Linked DNA regions of Cricetulus griseus. The protein of the gene in region 1 interacts with the protein of each later gene in a pairwise test. Links are inferred from orthologs where the notes say so. Each region holds a gene or a part of one and is shown in the gene's direction. Other genes may lie near its edges.

Region 1 (6,047 bases):
TACCCACAGGTCTGGGGGGTTGGGGTCCTTGACATGGCTATGTTAATATCAATAATACACATTCACTCAAGACTTCACTCACTCCCCATGCCTTTCTTGTCTCTCTGTGCTTTGTTCTACGTGGTGTGTGTGTGTGTGTGTGTGTGTGTGTGTGTGTACTGGGATTGAACCTTGGAGTCCTCGTCATCCTAAACAACATGGTACCACTGAGATACACCCCTACTCCTCTACTGCTTTAAAAACAAAACAAAACAAAAAACAGGGCTGTAGAAATGGCTGCAGTATTCCTCTTTCAGATGACCTGAATTTGGTTCTCAGCACCCACATCAGGCAGCTCAGAGCTGTCAGTAACTCCAGATCCAGGGAACACCTCTGGCCCCTGGGCACCTGCACTCAGGTATGTATACCAGTACATAGATGCACACATAATTAAACACATCATTAAAATATTTTTCTTTAGAAAAAAAACAAAGGCAATGGAAGCCGGGGAGGTAGCTCACTACAAAACATGAAGGCCTGAGTTCAGATTCTCAGCACCAGCACAAAAGCCAATTGTGGTGGTGATGCCTGTGTGAAACCCCAGTGCAGGAGGTCCTGGGAGGTGGAGACGGGCAGAAATAGTGAACTCTAGATTCAGTGACACAATATCCTACACTGGTACGTAGGCACACAGGGATATACTACATATAGACAAGTCCTTGAAATGAGGCAAATACATTTTTTAAATCATGGCAGAGCTGGGCATGGTGACACACGCGTTTCATCCCAGCACCTGGGAGGCAAGAGGCAGGTGGATCTACATAGTGAGTTCCAGGACAGCCAGAACTACTTGTGAGAACCTGTCTCGAAAAGATAAAACAAAGAAAGAAAGACTGGAAAGAGGTTGGGTAAGGGAAAGGAAGGTCAGGCTATTGCCGTAACCAGCAAGGGCCAGGCAAGGGAACCCTGGACACGCAGTCCTTTCCCGTCTAGTCCCGCCCTGAGACGTGGGCAACGCGAAGTCCCGCCCATTCGCCCCTTCCTGGGAGCCGGAGGCACACCGGCTCCTCCCTCAAGGCATGATCTTTGCTGGGGACCAAGACGGAAACTGGGTGGGGGACCTGAAGGGAAAGAGGGTCGGAAAAGGGCTGGCAGTGGGCCCTAGTGTCCTCTGCGCCCAAGTTCAAGTTTGCCAGTTTCTCGGGGGTTCCATTCATTTCGGGCCAAGACGACAGCTGCCCTCACCCCCACATTAGCGTAGCTTTGTGCAGGCAGGCTCCGGGGAAGCAGTGCCCTGAGTAGAGCGACCACCTGGAGGCCGCGGAGCTCATGGCCGGAGGGAGAGGGACAATTAACTTTATGTCCGGAAACCTTGGATGAATGTTTGAGACCATCTAACTGATGATGTGGGGAGCACAGGATAAAATTCTGCAAGTAGTAGGATTTGGAGGTTTGAGAAAATAAGTGGCGAGTAGGTTCTGAGAGGCGCAGATTCAGGGTCTGGGTGTTTAGCTACAGCTGAGGTGCGAGTGCACACTCAGGGATTCTAGAGGACCAGGTTGGATAGGGTCTAGGTGGCTAGGACAACATTTTGAATGAGGGCCCGGGGTCCCCAGGTGAATTTGGGGGCCAAACATCAAGGTCAGTGGCCCCGGGACCCAAGCGTTAGGGAACTCTGGCTGGGCGCCCGCAGGCGCCTCCAGGCGGCGCCGCGGGGGACCGGGTGGGGGCCTGTGGCCGGCCCGGGGTGGAGAAGCCGGGGGGTCGGGGTCCCTCCCCCTGGCGCGGGCTCAGGAATCCGCCGAAGGGCGGGCGGAGGCGCCGGGGTGGGCCGCGGCGGGCGGGCGGGCGGGCGGGCGGGCGGGCGGGGGCGCTTCCTGGGGCCGCGCGTCCAGCGAGCTGCGCGGTCCGGTCCGTCCGTCCGCCCGCAGGCACTGCCGGAGTCAACGAGTGAGTGGCCGCCAGCGGAGGGAGGGCGCGGGCCGTGTCGCGGCCGGGTCCGCGCTACGCCAAGCCGAGAGGCCTGCGCTCCACGACTCGCGGGGCGGGGGCGGGGCGGTCCGGGATTGCGGGCCTGCGAGCCCCAGGCCTGCGAAAGGACTCGGCCCCCAACTCTGGAAGGCTCCGGTGCTCCCAGCACAGTTCTGAGACAGCCGGGAATCCAGTGTCCCCTTCCTGATACAGGGAATGGGGGGTGTCGTGGCAGAGGCCCCTGACCCCTGCCCACTACCTCCCAGCCCCAGGATGCTCCCTTTTGCCTCCTGCCTTCCCGGGTCTTTACTGCTCTGGGCGCTCCTGCTGTTGCTCTTGGGAGCAGCGTCTCCACAGGATTCGGAAGAGCCGGACAGCTACACGGTGGGGACCAGCTTGGGATGGGATGGGATGGGATGGGATGGGATGGGATGGGATGGGATGGGAAGGACCAGGATCTTGGGGTGCCTGGGGAAGACTCTCCTCTGCTTGGTTGGTGGAAGACTGGGAGTCATTGTGTGAATTGACCCGAGCATAACTGAGCTCAGGCCCTGGCCTTGTTCTGGCTAGTTGGAGGAGACTTCCAGAGTGGTCACTGGCCACTTGGGGTCCCCTTCCAGGAATGTACAGATGGCTATGAGTGGGACGCAGACAGCCAGCACTGCCGGGGTGAGTATGCCTGGGATACTAGCCATTTTCAGGAACTGGGAAGGCAACTATTGTTTCCCAGGGATAACCTGGCTCCTAGACCAGCTGCAGGAACCTAATGGCCTTTTCACTGTCCAGCTTGGCTGAGCCAAAGCCAGCCACTCAATTAGGAGTCCTACCCCTTCAAGAAGTGCAATGAACTCTGCCTCTATTTGCAGTAGACAGGAGAGCACCTGGTGACTGCCCAGAGAAACGGAGATCTGCACACCTTCCGCCAACTGCCCTCTACTCTCCTAGCCCAGCTCTTTATCCCAGTGCAACCTGGGAGAGCAGTACACACTCTGTGGGTTTGGAGGCCTGCAAATTACTCTGGGGCAGAGGTAGAGGCAGGGTTTTGAGGAGGAATGGAAACTCACTTGGAGGCAGGAGAATAGGGACAACGGCGAAAATAGGTGGCCCTATCCCCAGTCCTGCAAATCACTGGGAGGGGTTCTGGGTCATCAGCCTTAATTTGCTGAGCAGAGAGAAAACCTTGCTCTGTTGCTCAGCTTAGAGAAGGCCAAGCTGGGATTCTGCCTCCCACTACCTCCAGGGCCAGCCCAGGTGACTGGCTGTGCCCAGCAGGCCCCTTTCTGCAGATGTCAACGAGTGCCTGACCATCCCCGAGGCCTGCAAGGGCGAAATGAAATGCATCAACCACTATGGGGGCTATTTGTGTCTGCCTCGATCTGCGGCTGTCATTAATGATCTACATGGCGAAGGCCCTCCACCACCAGTGCCCCCTGCTCAACACCCCAATCCTTGCCCACCAGGCTATGAACCTGATGAACAGGAGAGCTGTGTGGGTAAGTGGGAGCCATGCTGGCTGGCACCAATGCTTCCAGACCTCTTACATGTCTTTTTAAAATTAATTTTGTATTTAGTGTATAAAGTAAAAAGAAAAGTAAAAACCAAAAGAAAACAAAGGGGGGCGCTGGAGAGATGGCTTAGAGGTAAAGAGCACTGGCTGCTCTTCCAGAGGACCTGGGTTCAATTCCCAGCAACCACATGGTGGCTCACAACTGTCTGTAATTCTAATTCAGGGGACCTGGTACCCATGGCAAAACACCAATGCACATAAAATAAAAAAGTAAATTTAAAAATAAATAAAAGAAGCAAAGTGAAAGTTTTTAAAATCATGGTATCATTCTCCTGACACACTTCATATTTGTTCTCTCTCATTGTCCCTCCCTAGCACCTTGTTCTTCGAGATAGGATTTCTCTGTGTAGCCCTGGCTGTCCTGGAACTCACTCTGTAGTCCAGGTTGGCCTAGAACTTAGAGATCTGCCTGCCTCTGACTCCCTAGTGCTGAGTGCTGGGACTAAAGGTGTGTGCCACCACTGCAGGACTGTGTACTTTGTTTTTTGAGACAGAGTCTCTGGGTTTGATCCCCAGCACACACTTGTAATCCCACCACCAGGGAGGTAGAGAAAAGAAGATTGGAAGTTAAAGGTTACCTCAGTTGCATAAGGAGTTTGAGGCCACCCTGAGCTACATGAGAGCCTATCTCAAAAGCAGTAACTAACATAAATAAAGTAATTTTCCACACTAAATACCGCAGACCTCATGTTCCTTCCTTGCTGAGAGAAGCCTCTGGCTCCTCAGAGAAACATCTGAACCCTCACCTGCAGCAGGCCTGGTGCATGGTCTGCTGGCCCAGGAAGTCCCCAGCAGCTCCCTCACTTCCTGTGCAGACATGCTAGAGCTCTGCTCCCAGCCTCTTGCCAGCTCTTTATCAGGTCTCGGCCTTGGAAACCGCTGGCTTTGGAGGAGGGAAGATCCTGGTCTAGAGTCAGCTGAGGGTGTGAATGGACAACGCCTCATTTATTTTTAAGCCAGTTCTAGCTGGCTTGGAACTCTATAGCTCTGGCTGGCTTGGAACTCAGAGGGATCCTCCTGCTTCTGCCTCCTGGGTGTTAGAATTAAAAGTGTGTGCCACCAGACCTGACAAGGCCTTGTTTTATATGCTCAGCTAATGGGTGCTTTTCCTGGTGGACTGTTTTCTTGTGCTGTTGGGAGGACCTATATCCTATCTTCATATTTTGGTGCCAGCTACCCATGTGCCCATGTGAATGAAGTCTGGTGTGAGCCACCTCCTTCCAAGTTGATGTGCTGACATGGTCAGTAACATGTGGGACTCTGGGTAAGGGCTGCATGGTGTCTCCCACAGATGTGGACGAGTGCGCCCAGGCTTTGCATGACTGTCGCCCTAGCCAAGACTGTCATAACCTGCCTGGTTCCTACCAATGCACCTGCCCTGATGGTTACCGAAAAGTTGGGCCCGAATGCGTGGGTGAGTTCAGAGAGTGGCTTTCCTAGTTCTTGCTTTGTGACTTTGGTCTGACCTTATCCTTATCCTAGTCCTCTGCTGCTGGTACCCTCCTGTCATTAGACACAGAAGACTATATGTCGGTGGCTCAACTCAGGTCCCTGAAAAAGACAGGAGTAAGCATGCGTGCTGAGGCCTTTGTCTCGGCCTGCTCAGGCCCCACCTGACTTGTGTCCTGCTTACCCCTCCCCTGCCTCCATTGCAGACATAGACGAGTGTCGCTACCGATATTGCCAGCATCGATGTGTGAACCTGCCAGGCTCTTTTCGCTGCCAGTGTGAGCCAGGATTCCAGCTGGGTCCTAACAACCGTTCTTGTGTGGGTGAGACTCTGGGGTCCTAGGTAGAGATGTATGGGATAGGGGCAGGATCTCCTCACTAAGCCCATGTAGAGTGGGACTCTGGGCAGTGCCTCTGCTTTCACCACTCCTGTTTTCTCTGGCATCCTCAGATGTGAATGAGTGTGACATGGGAGCCCCATGTGAGCAACGCTGCTTCAACTCCTATGGGACCTTCTTGTGTCGTTGTAACCAAGGCTATGAACTGCACCGGGATGGCTTCTCCTGCAGTGGTGAGAGTCCACTTGTGCTGCTGGATAGTGCATTGGTCCTCCCAGGACCAACTCTAGTCACACAGTCGTTTGTTTGAGGCTTCCATGTCTCATTCTCTGTATCCTGAGCTGGTCGCTGAGGGTGGGGATGCTATGGGAGGCCCTACTGAAGCTTGCTGGAGAGACAGGAAAGGATGTAGGTGCCAGTCTTCCTGGAAGTTGAGTTGACTTGCACTGGAATCCTGCACTAGGACAAGTCTCTCTTCTTTCTGGGCACATTTCTATTGTAAATAGGTTGTTTGGATATGGAGAGGGACCATGATAAAAGGCTTCATCAAGTCTCAGGCAGCAAAAGTGGGGAGCACCACTTGTTTATAACTTACATTCTCATTTAGTCTGGTCAATGGTGATTTGCTTTTGCAAACAGGACACTAATTCCTCCAGGTATGTTGGCAGAATTGTAAAAAAGCAAGCAAAAAGCCCAGAGAAAATGGTACCTTTCATCTTTCCACTTAGAGATGAAGTGACTTG
Region 2 (5,976 bases), on another chromosome or scaffold:
GCTAAATGAGCAGCTCACCAGCACTCACTCCATTGAGCCTCTCACTTCCTGCCGACCCACAGGAGTCCCTGCTTTCTTCATAGCTGGAGGACTGCCCTCCCAAGACAACCTCCTCAGGGAGGTCTACCTTGCTTTCCTCTGATGATTCCTCAGGAGCTGAAGCTAAAGCAGGGGAAACTTTCCAGTCCTTGCTCCCCCTTAACCAAGCCTTGGGGGTGAGTCAAAGGTCACAGAGAAACACCACTCCTCAAATAAGTGGTTGCTACTGAGGAAGACCAGACACAAGGTCTACTTAGATCTCCCTGAGGATGGTCAGGTTTGGGACTGGGGGTAGGGGTGGAGGGGACCACAACTTCTATATGTGGAGAACAAAACAAAGTCTGAAGAGTGACCTCACATTTGAAAAGTGGCTGCTCTGAACAAAACTTCCTTTTTCTATAGACAGAGAACACCCAAACTCACACATAAATTACTCTGATAATTTCACGTCTAGAAGCATGGTCAGAATAAAACCTGTGCAGAATTGCTTGCAAGGTTTCTTAGGTGATCACTGACTTTCTCCTACTTAAGAACGCGTTCATTCTCTGTGTGGCCTTTTCTCTCTTCAAGCCTAGGGCTGACATTAAACCTAACAGTAAACAGCAATTACCAACACCATCAGCATCATCGTAGGGGTGAGGTTGATGGAAAACAGGACCCCTGTCCTGGGATGATGCTCACATTTGCACGTGTCTCTCTGGGGAGTGACCTGAAGGTTCACACAAGCAACTACACAGTCCGTTGGAAAGTATACAATCCACTCAGCCATCTGTCCACTGCCCCTCCCACCTGCCAGTCCCTCCCCACCCCCCAGACATGCAATAGGGGGCGGTGGCAAGAGGAGGTTTTCCCACTCCTAACAAGCAAGCCCCTTATGAAAGAGAGAAATGTGACGCGGGAGGTCAGCATACTTTGTAAGAACTGTGCGATCCGTCCTTCTGTCCCGTCCCTCCGTCCCTCTGAGGCCTACGCTGGAGCGAGCAAGCTCCTGGGTCTCTAAGAGCAGACAGAAGGCCTGCAGCTCAGGCTCGGCCCTCATGCCGGCCACGTCTGCTAGCGTCATCTTTCTCATCTGCCTTCCACCCTCAAACTCCAGCAGCAGAGTTGCTCCGGATCCTGAGGGACTACCAAGAGCAAAGCTGACTGACTGGGAAGGAGAAAGGGGAAGAGATCCAGAGAAGAGGGAGGGCAGAGAAGAGAGCAGACACCCGGACTTTCCCAGAGAGCTGGGTTCCTAGGGCTCCCCCGCCCCCCTGGGGTCGAATTACAGAAGCTCCCATAGCCACGCTATTGGCCCGTAGGAGTCAGGGCAGAGGGCTCTGAGACCCTCCGGATGAGGACAGTAGCTTCTTTTCTTTCTCTGGTCCCCATCACACCCACCCTGATTCCTCCCAGACAATCCTTTGCGCACGTCCCCCTACATTCCGAGGCGGGTGAGGCAGTGACGCAGCCTTGCCCTAGGCGCCTGGGTTCCAGGCTCAAGTCTCTGCAGGGACTGGGTGGTGGCGGCCATCCCGAGCTGAGGGGATGATGTGTGCTGGATTCCTACCCTTCCCACCCTGTTTGCTCCCGGCTCCGCCAGGGTCCTTGAGACCATGCAGAGAGCTCTGGCCTACCGAGGCCCGCCTCAAGAGAGCCGAGAGGCCTCGTCCCCTCTCACCTCTTGTCAGTTCAGCTTTCTAGGCTGGGTGGGGAAAGGGCCGCGGAGGGTCGCCTCCCATCCCCCACATCCTGGAGGCGGAGGCGAGCAGAGTCGGGCGCGCGCAGAAGTCAATCTCTACTCCCCTTGGCCCCAGTGCTCCAAGTCAGCTCTGGCAGCGGCCGGAGCAGCCGCCGCGGCCCGGGCAGCCTGGGGGGGCGACCGCGCGTCACCTAGACTGAGGAGCGCCGGGGATTTAAATGCCACTGAAACGGTGATCCATCACCGCCGCAGCCGGTAAACTTTCGCAGGCGGCTCAGCCATTGGTTGACAAAGTCACGTGTCCTTCCCCTTGAGTCCTCCGCCTTCCCGCCCCGCCTCTTGCGCACTGTACATTCATATCATTTTTCTTCTCTGGTCCCATGGAGGAAGTGAGAAAGTTGGCACGGTCACCCAGGGCTTCGCAGGACCCAGTCACTCAGTGACAGATGGACAATGCAAGAATGAGCTCCTTCCTGGAATATCCCATCCTTGGCAGTGGCGACTCCGGGACCTGCTCTGCGCGAGCCTACACCTCTGACCATGGGATTACAACTTTCCAATCCTGCGCGGTCAGTGCCAACAGCTGCGGCGGCGACGACCGCTTCCTAGTGGGCAGGGGGGTGCAGATCAGCTCGCCCCACCACCACCACCATCACCACCCCCAGCCGTCTACTTACCAGACTTCTGGGAGTCTGGGGGTTTCCTACTCCCACTCGAGTTGTGGTCCAAGCTATGGCGCGCAGAACTTCAGTGCGCCTTATGGCCCCTATGGATTAAATCAGGAAGCAGACGTAAGTGGTGGGTACTCCCCGTGCGCTCCCGCTGTTTACTCTGGAAACCTCTCATCTCCCATGGTCCAGCATCACCACCACCACCACCACCAGGGTTATGCTGGGGGCACGGTGGGCTCGCCTCAGTATATCCACCACTCTTATGGACAAGAGCACCAGAGCCTGGCCCTGGCCACGTATAATAACTCCTTATCCCCTCTCCACGCCAGCCACCAAGAAGCCTGTCGCTCCCCTGCTTCAGAGACGCCTTCTCCAGCGCAGACCTTTGACTGGATGAAAGTCAAAAGAAACCCTCCCAAAACAGGTGAGTCCTGCCGGCTGGCAAACAAATGTTGCTTGATTTTGAAAGGGGCCGGTGCGCTTAGTTTCCTAGGAAAGTTAATGATTTTAAAAGATGGGTTCTTGCTTCTGTCTAGTGTCTTCTGGAGTTATAGTGTGTGGTGTAGGATGCCCAGGTGTGTTGGGGCAAAGCAGTTTCTGGACCTGGCATTTTCAAAGGGGCTGATGCTTCAGTGGTCTAGAAGTAGGAAGCGTGTGTGTGTGTGTGTGTGTGTGTGTGTGTGTGTGTGTGTGTGTGTGTGTGTGTGGTGTGGTGTGGGTGGGAGGTGTCGGTGGTGGTGGAGTTTTGTTAATATCTACAGGCTCCATTAATCAGAAGCCTGACCACGCTAATGGTTGACTTCAGGTTAACACTTTACATACACATCGTTTGTCACTAGAGCTTCCCAGCTGGGTTTGTGCTGAGCAGTTAACCGAATGTTGCCCCGAACATTGGGCAATCGGATAAGGGTTAAAGAATTTTTACCTTTTCCTCTCTTCCTCCGTTACCCCAGGGAAAGTTGGAGAGTATGGCTATGTGGGTCAACCCAACGCAGTGCGCACCAACTTCACCACCAAGCAGCTCACGGAGCTGGAGAAGGAGTTCCACTTCAACAAGTACCTGACACGAGCGCGCAGGGTGGAGATAGCCGCGTCCCTGCAGCTCAACGAGACCCAGGTGAAGATCTGGTTCCAGAATCGCCGCATGAAGCAGAAGAAGCGTGAGAAGGAGGGGCTCCTGCCCATTTCTCCAGCCACTCCTCCTGGAAGCGACGAGAAAGCTGAAGAATCTTCTGAGAAATCCAGCTCCTCGCCCTGCGTTCCTTCTCCAGCATCATCTACCTCAGACACCCTGCCTACCTCCCATTGAGGCCACTCCAGCCCAGCTCCGTAGTCCAGGCTTCTCCCTGGGCTAGGGTTTCTTACCCAAAGCACATCTCTAGCTTATCTTTCTTCCTTTACAGTCTCTCTTTTTCTTTCTGGTCCAATCCAGAGAGCTCCTGGGCAACATAATGTAGTTCCATAGAATTCTGGAGACTTGGTTGTAAATTAAATCCTTAATCCACATCGGGTGCCCATATCAATTTCTGGTGGCCCCCAAAATTCCTTCCTCACTGTTGTGAGAGTTTTTTTTACACAACCCATGGTTCCTTTCAGATGTCCCTTGGAGGACAGTACCCTTTGCCAGCAGGCATTTGAAGAAGGGAGGCATCTCACCTTTTATCTGTATATTGTTCTTCTCTACCTGGCTCTTAAGTAGGACACACAAAAAAGAGAGTATCCAAAGGCTCATGAAGAAGAGATTGACTGAGTGTGTTTACACAATTAATTCACCCCTTAACTTTCTCTTGAGAGATTTATCTTTATACAGATTTTCTAGAAACATGCAGAACTATATCAAACAGGGTGGGCAAACTTCCAAAACTGGTGATTATGGGTGGACAAAAAAGGGGGGACCCTGGCATTCAAACAGAACCAGATTCCTCAAAAGGTAGCCTCAATTTGCTCTTGCAGAGTCAAGAAGGCCTGAGAAGCCCAAAGTTCAGAACCTTTGCTGTGCCAAGACTTCCCAAATTACCGATTTCTTCTTGCTTCTCTGGCCACCCTCCACTTAAAAAGTGTGCTGGATTATTTGTAACCTAAAGGTACTCTTTTCAGTCACCCTTTCTTTCCACAGTTATCTTGGCTGGATACAATGTATTTTCAGCTAATTGTTAATGTGATGGCACAATGAATGTATATTTTGTGTGATTCGTGAATAGTCTTCTGCATGTCGCACAATGTTTTGATGTCCCTGAAGTACCACACTGAGTTCTATCAGTTATCTTTTGTGAGCCTACGATAGTCCCCCTTTCCTGTACAATCATGAACAGCTCTGAGATCCCAGAGGGATGTGATCCAGAGCAGAGTTTACGGGTCTTAAGACGTCTGTAATAAAAAATATTCAAGTTTTGGGTATGCTTAAGCATCTGTGTATTTGGCTGGGCTACAGTTTGTGTCTTACTACAAAGTAAGGGGAAGGATATATGGGGAAGGACAGAAGGGTGGTATTTATTTTCAAAGAAGTGGGCCCTCCATTGTCATGTAGCTTGCAGCATTCCTTATAAGTATAGCCTCATCCAACCAATGTCTAGCTAATGCACTGATCTCTTTATCATAACAACCACTCCTTTATTATAACCAAAGTTCAAAATGGAAAAACTAGTGAAGCAATGTATGAAGGAGATCTATTTTTGAAACAAACATGGATACTTCCCGGGTCAAGTGCTAACCTTTTCACCTCCAACTGAATGTTGACACATATATAAACAGAGCCCCTTCAAAAGCTGAAAACTGTCTTCAGTCAGTCTTTCCTCACATTAGAGAACCAACGGCAGAGAGATTCACATTTAATCAGCTTCAGTATAAAAGTATCTTTTAAGTTGAGTATGGTCTGCCTCCCACCCCCTGTTCTTTCTATCAATATCCATTCTTTCAACCACTCCCTTACATCTCTGCATTGCAATCTTATCCCTTCAAATTCAACTTTCATGTCATTGCCATCATGACTGCAAAGGCTCTCCATTTCTAATTCCATGCCACATAGGCTGGGCAGAAGTTGATAGTCTCTAGATTCAGATTCTTCCAGTTGACCTTATGAAAACCAGCTCACATCTTTGTGTATCCAAGTTGTTTCTGATAGAGGCATGTGTCAGATCTCAGAGGGAGTCAACAAATGATGACATTCAACAGAGCTGTTCTAGACCTCTTGCCAATTTCCTTTTATTTTTTAACATATTTCAGGGTTTAAGCAACATTTTCTAACTCTTTTCCTGGTGGTGCTGGGGATGGGACTCAGAGCCTTGTACGTTCTAGGCAAGTGTTGGACCTTCCTCAGTTTTCACACACATTTGGAGGCTTTGAGCCCTCAGAGCAGAGTAGAAAATCTACAGCATCACAGATACAGACATGTGACTTCCTTTTCAAAGGGTGTTTTGAAAAGATGGGCTGAGGAGAAAAACCTACAAACCTTCGGAATTTGCAGGCCTTCTAGAACACTTGTGAGATTTCCTGCACAACCCTGTTAAATGGACTTTGTGGGAGCAGTTGCTGCATGCATATCAAGGGCTCTGGGCACCCTCCCTCAGCTGCTGGTTCTGAGGTCGC
Region 3 (6,120 bases), about 60 Mb from region 1:
AGTGGCCAGTTCTTCTGAGCCCAGCAGAGGCCCTTCCCTTGCCTAGGAGCTGCCAGAATGCCCTGTGGAAGTGGAAGTGGAAGCTCCAGCTAGGCACTCATTCCTTACTGCCTTGCCCCTTCTTAGGCATTGTTCCAGCCCCAGACACTGCGCTGACTTCTTTTCACACATTGTCCATGAGGTCACGTGTTGTGGTTCCACCTGAATGGTGGGGTTCACTCAGGGATGCCTTCTGGGCCTTACCTGCAGCCTCTGACTCCGGGCTTCATGCTCATTACTGTCCCAAGACACACCTCAGCAAACACAAAGTGGTTATATATGCTCCGAGTAAAAACATAACAGAACAGCATTCACTGGCAAGGTGGCTGGGGGTAAAGACACTTCTCATATAAGCCTAGTGGCCTGAGTCCAATGCCTGGAACCCCAGTGATGGTGGAAGGAGAGAACCAAATCCACCAGGTTGTCTTCTAGTTTTCCCCATGTGCATGCTTGCACACACACACACACACACACACACACACACACACACACACACACACACTTAAAAAACACTATTTTTTTCGAGTCAGGGTTACTCTGTGTAGCTCCGACTGTCCTGGATCTTGGTTTGTGGACCAGGCTGGCCTCGAACTTACAGAGATCCACCTGTCTCTGCCTCCTGAGTGCTGGGATTAAAGGCATGCACCACCACCACCTGGCTTCCTTGGAGGTTTAAAATTTAAACTAAATTTTAGAATTAGTTTCTGAATGCTCATACAAAGAACTGAGGCAGAAGTATTTTAGGAGAAATCAGACCAAAAGCCAAGGACCTGCCTTTTTGTCAACTCTCTGTTTCCTGTCTTCTGGATCCCCTCATGAGAAACCTGAGAACTTGGGCAGGTAGGGCACACCTTGAGTTGAATTTGGTCACAGCACAGAGCTCATATTCCTAAGGAGCAACTTAAATTTTAATTGCATCCCTGTCCCCTCTTTTCTACACCCTCAAGCTCCACTGCCACCAAGAGATTTGTCTGAACCAAATGCCAAAGGGCCACACAATCTCTGACCCCTCATTCAGCTCCCAAGTCTGTTGGCACGGGTAGGTCTTTGGTGAGATGCTCCAAAGAGTCACATCAGCCATAACACTTAACTCAAGCATCTGCTGTAGAAATTCCCACACAAGGAATAGTGTCCATCTATGTCTGTGGTCCCCAGTAGGCTTCAGGGGACCATGTCTTTGTCCTGTGTGACCCAAGTGCCTGAATCACAGTGAATCACACTTAGAAACTGACTGTTGTATGGATGAACACCAACCGTGATGCTAGAGATTGGAAAGACGCTGCAGTGGGTAAAGTGCTTGCCACCCAAGCACAAGGACCTGAGTTCAGATCCCCAGTACTCATATAAAAGTGGGCTCAGCAACTTGTGTCTGTGAGCTTTGCACTGGGCAGACTGATAGGCAGATCCTGGGGCTTGCTGGCCAGTCAACCTATCCAAAACAGCAATCTTCAGGTTAAAAAGTAAGATTGCTAGCAATAGAAGAAAGACATCTGTGTTGACCTACTGCCTCCAAGGGTGCATGAACAGGGGAGTACATCCATGTATATAGCTCTTGAGCATGTGCATATTGCAGAGAGTGTGCTCCTGTGCGTGTGCACAGGCACACATGCACACACACTTTATCAGGAGAGGGAATTCTTTGTGTCTGCACTGCCTATTAGACTGGCAATACATTTCTGTATGTGAGATGGGTCTTCATCTAAAAATGCAGCTCACTCTTGGCAGCCACACACTCCTGTACATGGGTAACAAAACTTCAAGACAGTGAAAATAAACAAATGGCTCTAAGAGCCCCATGGTTCTGTTTGGGAGGCAGCTTGGAATCAGCAACAGCAATGAACTCCAAGTTCTTCTTTCGGATCTCTGCTGAAATTAGGGCCCATACGTGTCAGTCTCGTAATTAGACAAGGTTGCCTGGTGTCTGCCAGAAACACAAAGAGGTCCCTGCCCGAAAGAGCACAGAGCAGATGGGGTTGCTGAGCGCAGCTTGTGCGTGAGCACGCTGCCTGGGGAGAGGAAGGCAGAGAATCAGGAGCTGTGCTGCCTGCTACATGCGTTGCTGCAGGAGAGAAGTTGATGCCACAGAAGCAGCAACTAGGCTGCTAGCTCCCTGCACTGTGACCCAGATGTCAGGACCCATGCAGAATAAGGATCTTCATGGGTCTTGCACCGTGGGGCCAGAAGTACATCTGTAATGGACAGGTACAGCAGCTAGGATATGGCTGCCCTGCTCTGCCAGCTGGAGGTGGTCACCACCAATATGCACTTTGGCATACCCACAGGCGCTCCCCGCGGCTGGGATGTCAGGGACCGGCACCCCTTCTCTTCTGCTCATGGCATCTCTTACCTGGCCAGGCTAATCGTGAGTAACTCTGAGTCCTTTACTCAATCTTGCCCCAGCATAGGAAAAAGCTCAGCAGGGAACTTAGCCCCCAAAAGGTGACAGAAAAGGGTCTATTGAAATCAGGATTCTTCCACATCAGGCAGTGCTGTGAGACCCAAGGGCACATAGAGAGACTCAGAGAATCCAATGAAATGAGAACTCCAAGCACACATCCCACAGAAACCACCTGGAAACATCAAAGGAAGCTTCAGGCTCATGGTTTCCAATGTAACTCTCAAGTAGACTGGGAATCAATACAGATGTTGAGAAATTCAACATCTGTATGTATATATGTAGGGTAAACAAATATAGAAGATCCTTCACAAAATCAATCTTTTTGCATGTGTATGTGTGTAGTGTGTGTGTGTGTGTGTGTGTGTGTGTGTGTGTGTGTGTGTGTGTATGTGTGTGTGTGTGTGTGTGTGCTCCCGTGTGTAGGCACACATGTGGGTGGCTGCCTGTGTATGTATGTGCTCTTGCATGTGAGGCTCAGAAGTTGGTGTGGGTATCTTCCTTATTGATCACTGAGCAGGGCTTTCACTGATCAATTTGACTAGCTTAGTTATCTGGCTTGTTCCGGGGAATCTCTTGGCTCAGCTTCCCACATGCTGAGTTTATAGGTAGGCTGCCACACCAACTGTGCATTCCTCTGGGTGCTGAGGTTTGAAACTCTGGTCTTTATCCTTGAAGGGCAAGTGCTTTACCACTGTGGCATCTCCCTTCCACAGTCATATATTTCATGAACTTTCTAGTGTTTTTTCTTTTTCTAGCACAGTAAAGGTATTGTGTGATGAAGTTTTGTTTTAGTTATATTAGCTTACTTATTAATTCATAAGCATTTGCTTACCTGTGTATCTTATTGTGGCTAATGGTATATTTCATGGTATTAAAAAATGTAAACTCAAACTTTGATTGAGATCATAGAAGCTTAAAAAAACAAGCAGTATTCTAGAACCTCAATGAGACAGAGAAGTGTGGGGATGTGACCCTGTACCCTGGAGTGTGCCAGACTTCTCTTTGGCCACAGAGGCCATTTCCCTGTTGTCCAAGACAAGGACTTCTGGCCCAGTTGGCCATGAGCTCTCCTTTCTTTTTCTGTCCTTATGTTTGCCTAACTGGGTGAGTAGATCCTTGAGCTACAGCAAGGGTCTGAGGTCAGTAGCTGGTCCAGTCTCACATGTCTGCCCTTCCTCTTTTCTCCTCATCCTCCAAGGGTGGCACACAAGAGCAGGAATGGTCACAGCAGTTGCTGAAGGAGGTTGGGAGGCTGCCATATTTGCTGCACAGGTGATATCTGGGCAGCATGTTTTTCCCACCACTGAAATAATCATCAAAAGCAGATAATAAAGTATGTCTGCATATGAGAGAAAGAGAGAGAGACAGAGAGAGAGAGGAGGCAGGCCATATGAGCTGTCAGCCTCTCTCTGTGCAAATGATAGTTCAAAGAACACTTAGAACACTTACTCATCTCATATGCCATCTTACAAAGTCAACCTTAACACATGCCAACAAATAAAAACCACATGCCCAGATACATCCCCATTGCTACAAAACAATTAAGCTGTAATTTTCTAATAAAAATCAAGAAACTAAAAGATACAAAATTGAAAATTAGTTGACAATAACCACAACTCTCTTGTTGAGAATGGAGTGTAAGCTGAAGGTTAAAGCTTCAATTACTGACCTTCTAAGAAATGACCTAAGTGGGCTGGGACTGTGACTCAACAACACCTGCCTAGGTTGTGTGAGCCCATCTACAAAAATGAAAAACAAAGTAGCTAACCAGTTAGGTAACAACAATAATACACTTGACATTCAAGATTCCTAGACTGTGGATGAAGGAGTCAGAGGAGACTTTTTAGCTTTAAGTAATAGTGACAAAATGGCAGACATGGTGACAGTAGTCAACTGACAGACTATATTTCAGAAACTGGAGTACTTACTATGTTTCCCTATTTGGCTTTATTCCAACACTTTTGGTTTTTTTACTTTAATATATGTTCGAAACATTTAAAAAATTCTTTAAGTAATATTTATTAGTTCTTTGAGACTGTCATACATATCATTTTTGTTGAAAGTGTATTTTATCTAAATTACGTTTAATTAAAAATATAGAAACATTTTATGGTATCAACACAGCATATTTCTTTCTTTTTTTTTTACAAATGCTGGTGCTACTATTAATTATTATTTTTTATTTTTATAATTGTAATTAGACCAATTTTAAATTAGAAACAAGCTTTTTTACATGTCAATCCCAGTTCCCTCTCCCTCCCCTCCTCCCCTACCCCCCACCCCCATCTCAACCTCTTTCTGCTCCCCAGGGAGAGTGAGGCCTTCTATGGGGATCTTCAAAGTCTATCATATCATTTGGAGCAGGGCCTAGACCCTCCCCCATGTGTCTAGGCTGAGAGAGTATCCCTCTATGTGAAGTGGGCTCCCAAGTCCATTCATATACTAGGAATAAATACTGATCCACTACCAGAGGCCCCATAGATTGCCCAGACCTCCTAACTGACATCCTTGTTCAGTCTGGATCAGTCCTGTGCTGGTTTCCCAGCTCTCAGTCTGGAGTCCATGAGCTCCCCCTTGTTCAGGTCAGCTGTTTCTGTGGATTTCTGGAGCCTGGTCTTGACTCCTTTGCTCATCACTCCTCCCTCTCTGCAACTGGATTCCAGAGTTCAGCTCAGTGTTTAGCTGTGGGTTTCCGCTGCTGCTTCCATCAGCTACTGGATGAAGGCTCTAGGATGGTATATAAGGTACTCTTCAATATCATTATTGGAGAAGGGCATTTAAGGTAGCCTCTCCACTATTGTTAGATAGTTAGTTGGGGTCAAAATTGTAGATCTCTGGACATTTCCCTAGTGCCAGAATTCTCTTTAAACCTATAATGACTCCCTCTATTATAGTATCTCTTTTCTTTCTCTCCTCTGTTCTTCCCTGACTAAATCTTCCTGCTCTCTCATGTCCTCCTCTCCCCTCCTCTTCTCCCCTTCTCTTTCTTCTAGCGCCCTTTCCCCTCCTCCATGCTCCCAATTAGCTCAAGAGCTCTTGTTCCTTTCCCCTTCTCAGGGGGAGCACATATGTCTCTCTTAGGGTCCTCCTTGTTTCCTAGCTTCTCTGGCAGTGTGGATTGTAGGCTGGTACTCCTTTGTTCTATGTCTAAAATCCATATATGAGTGAGTAATACCATCTTTGTTCTTTCTTTCTTTCTTTCTTTCTTTCTTTCTTTCTTCCTTTCTTTCTTTTGAGACATAACCTCTCTGTGTAGCTCTGGCTGGCCTGGAGCATGCTATATAGACCAGGCTAGCCTCAAGTTCACAGAGATACACCTGCCTCTGCCTCCTGAGTGCTTAGATTAAATGTGTGTTTCGCTATGCCCATTTCTCTCTTTCTTATTAATTCAGACAGCCAAGTGAGGTGGACCATTCTTATCCAGGATTTCATTTATCCTATTTTGAGTGTGTGTGTGTGTGTGTGTGTGTGTGTGTGTGTGTGTGTGTGTGCATAAAATTTACCAAGCAGTTTAAGTCCCTGTGTGAATTATTTCCCTCAGATCTTCCAGTGGCTAGCATAGCTATCTCCAGTTCATGTGGGTCTAAGCCACACAAGACATGCCATGTTTAACAGTGCAGAGGTAACTGGCAGACCCACCATTGGATAATGTGAACTCAGAGTCAAGCCTTTGGTCACTCAAA

Evidence for each region.
Region 2: the proteins of Efemp2 (region 1) and Hoxa1 interact in a two-hybrid assay, tested with the Homo sapiens proteins (2 studies listed by BioGRID and IntAct). The link is inferred for Cricetulus griseus from reciprocal best matches to the Homo sapiens genes EFEMP2 and HOXA1.
Region 3: the proteins of Efemp2 (region 1) and Il16 interact in binary tests that used the Homo sapiens proteins (3 or more experiments, as listed by UniProt). The two-hybrid records come from large-scale screens. The link is inferred for Cricetulus griseus from reciprocal best matches to the Homo sapiens genes EFEMP2 and IL16.

Annotation. Positions count from the first base shown.
Region 1 is NC_048596.1:53,862,776-53,868,822, reverse strand, and holds the start of Efemp2 (EGF-containing fibulin-like extracellular matrix protein 2 precursor), read left to right. Parts: upstream 1-1,933; 5' UTR 1,934-2,223; coding exon 2,224-2,334; intron 2,335-2,570; coding exon 2,571-2,619; intron 2,620-3,236; coding exon 3,237-3,443; intron 3,444-4,808; coding exon 4,809-4,931; intron 4,932-5,172; coding exon 5,173-5,289; intron 5,290-5,417; coding exon 5,418-5,537; intron 5,538-6,047. UniProt on the Homo sapiens protein: Plays a crucial role in elastic fiber formation in tissue, and in the formation of ultrastructural connections between elastic laminae and smooth muscle cells in the aorta, therefore participates in terminal differentiation and maturation of smooth muscle cell (SMC) and in the mechanical properties and wall integrity maintenance of the aorta.
Region 2 is NC_048601.1:89,185,934-89,191,909, forward strand, and holds Hoxa1 (homeobox protein Hox-A1), read left to right. Parts: upstream 1-2,052; 5' UTR 2,053-2,166; coding exon 2,167-2,815; intron 2,816-3,344; coding exon 3,345-3,700; 3' UTR 3,701-4,800; downstream 4,801-5,976. UniProt on the Homo sapiens protein: Sequence-specific transcription factor. Regulates multiple developmental processes including brainstem, inner and outer ear, abducens nerve and cardiovascular development and morphogenesis as well as cognition and behavior.
Region 3 is NC_048596.1:113,938,865-113,944,984, forward strand, and holds the start of Il16 (pro-interleukin-16), read left to right. Parts: upstream 1-2,196; coding exon 2,197-2,401; intron 2,402-6,120. UniProt on the Homo sapiens protein: Interleukin-16 stimulates a migratory response in CD4+ lymphocytes, monocytes, and eosinophils. Primes CD4+ T-cells for IL-2 and IL-15 responsiveness. Also induces T-lymphocyte expression of interleukin 2 receptor. Ligand for CD4.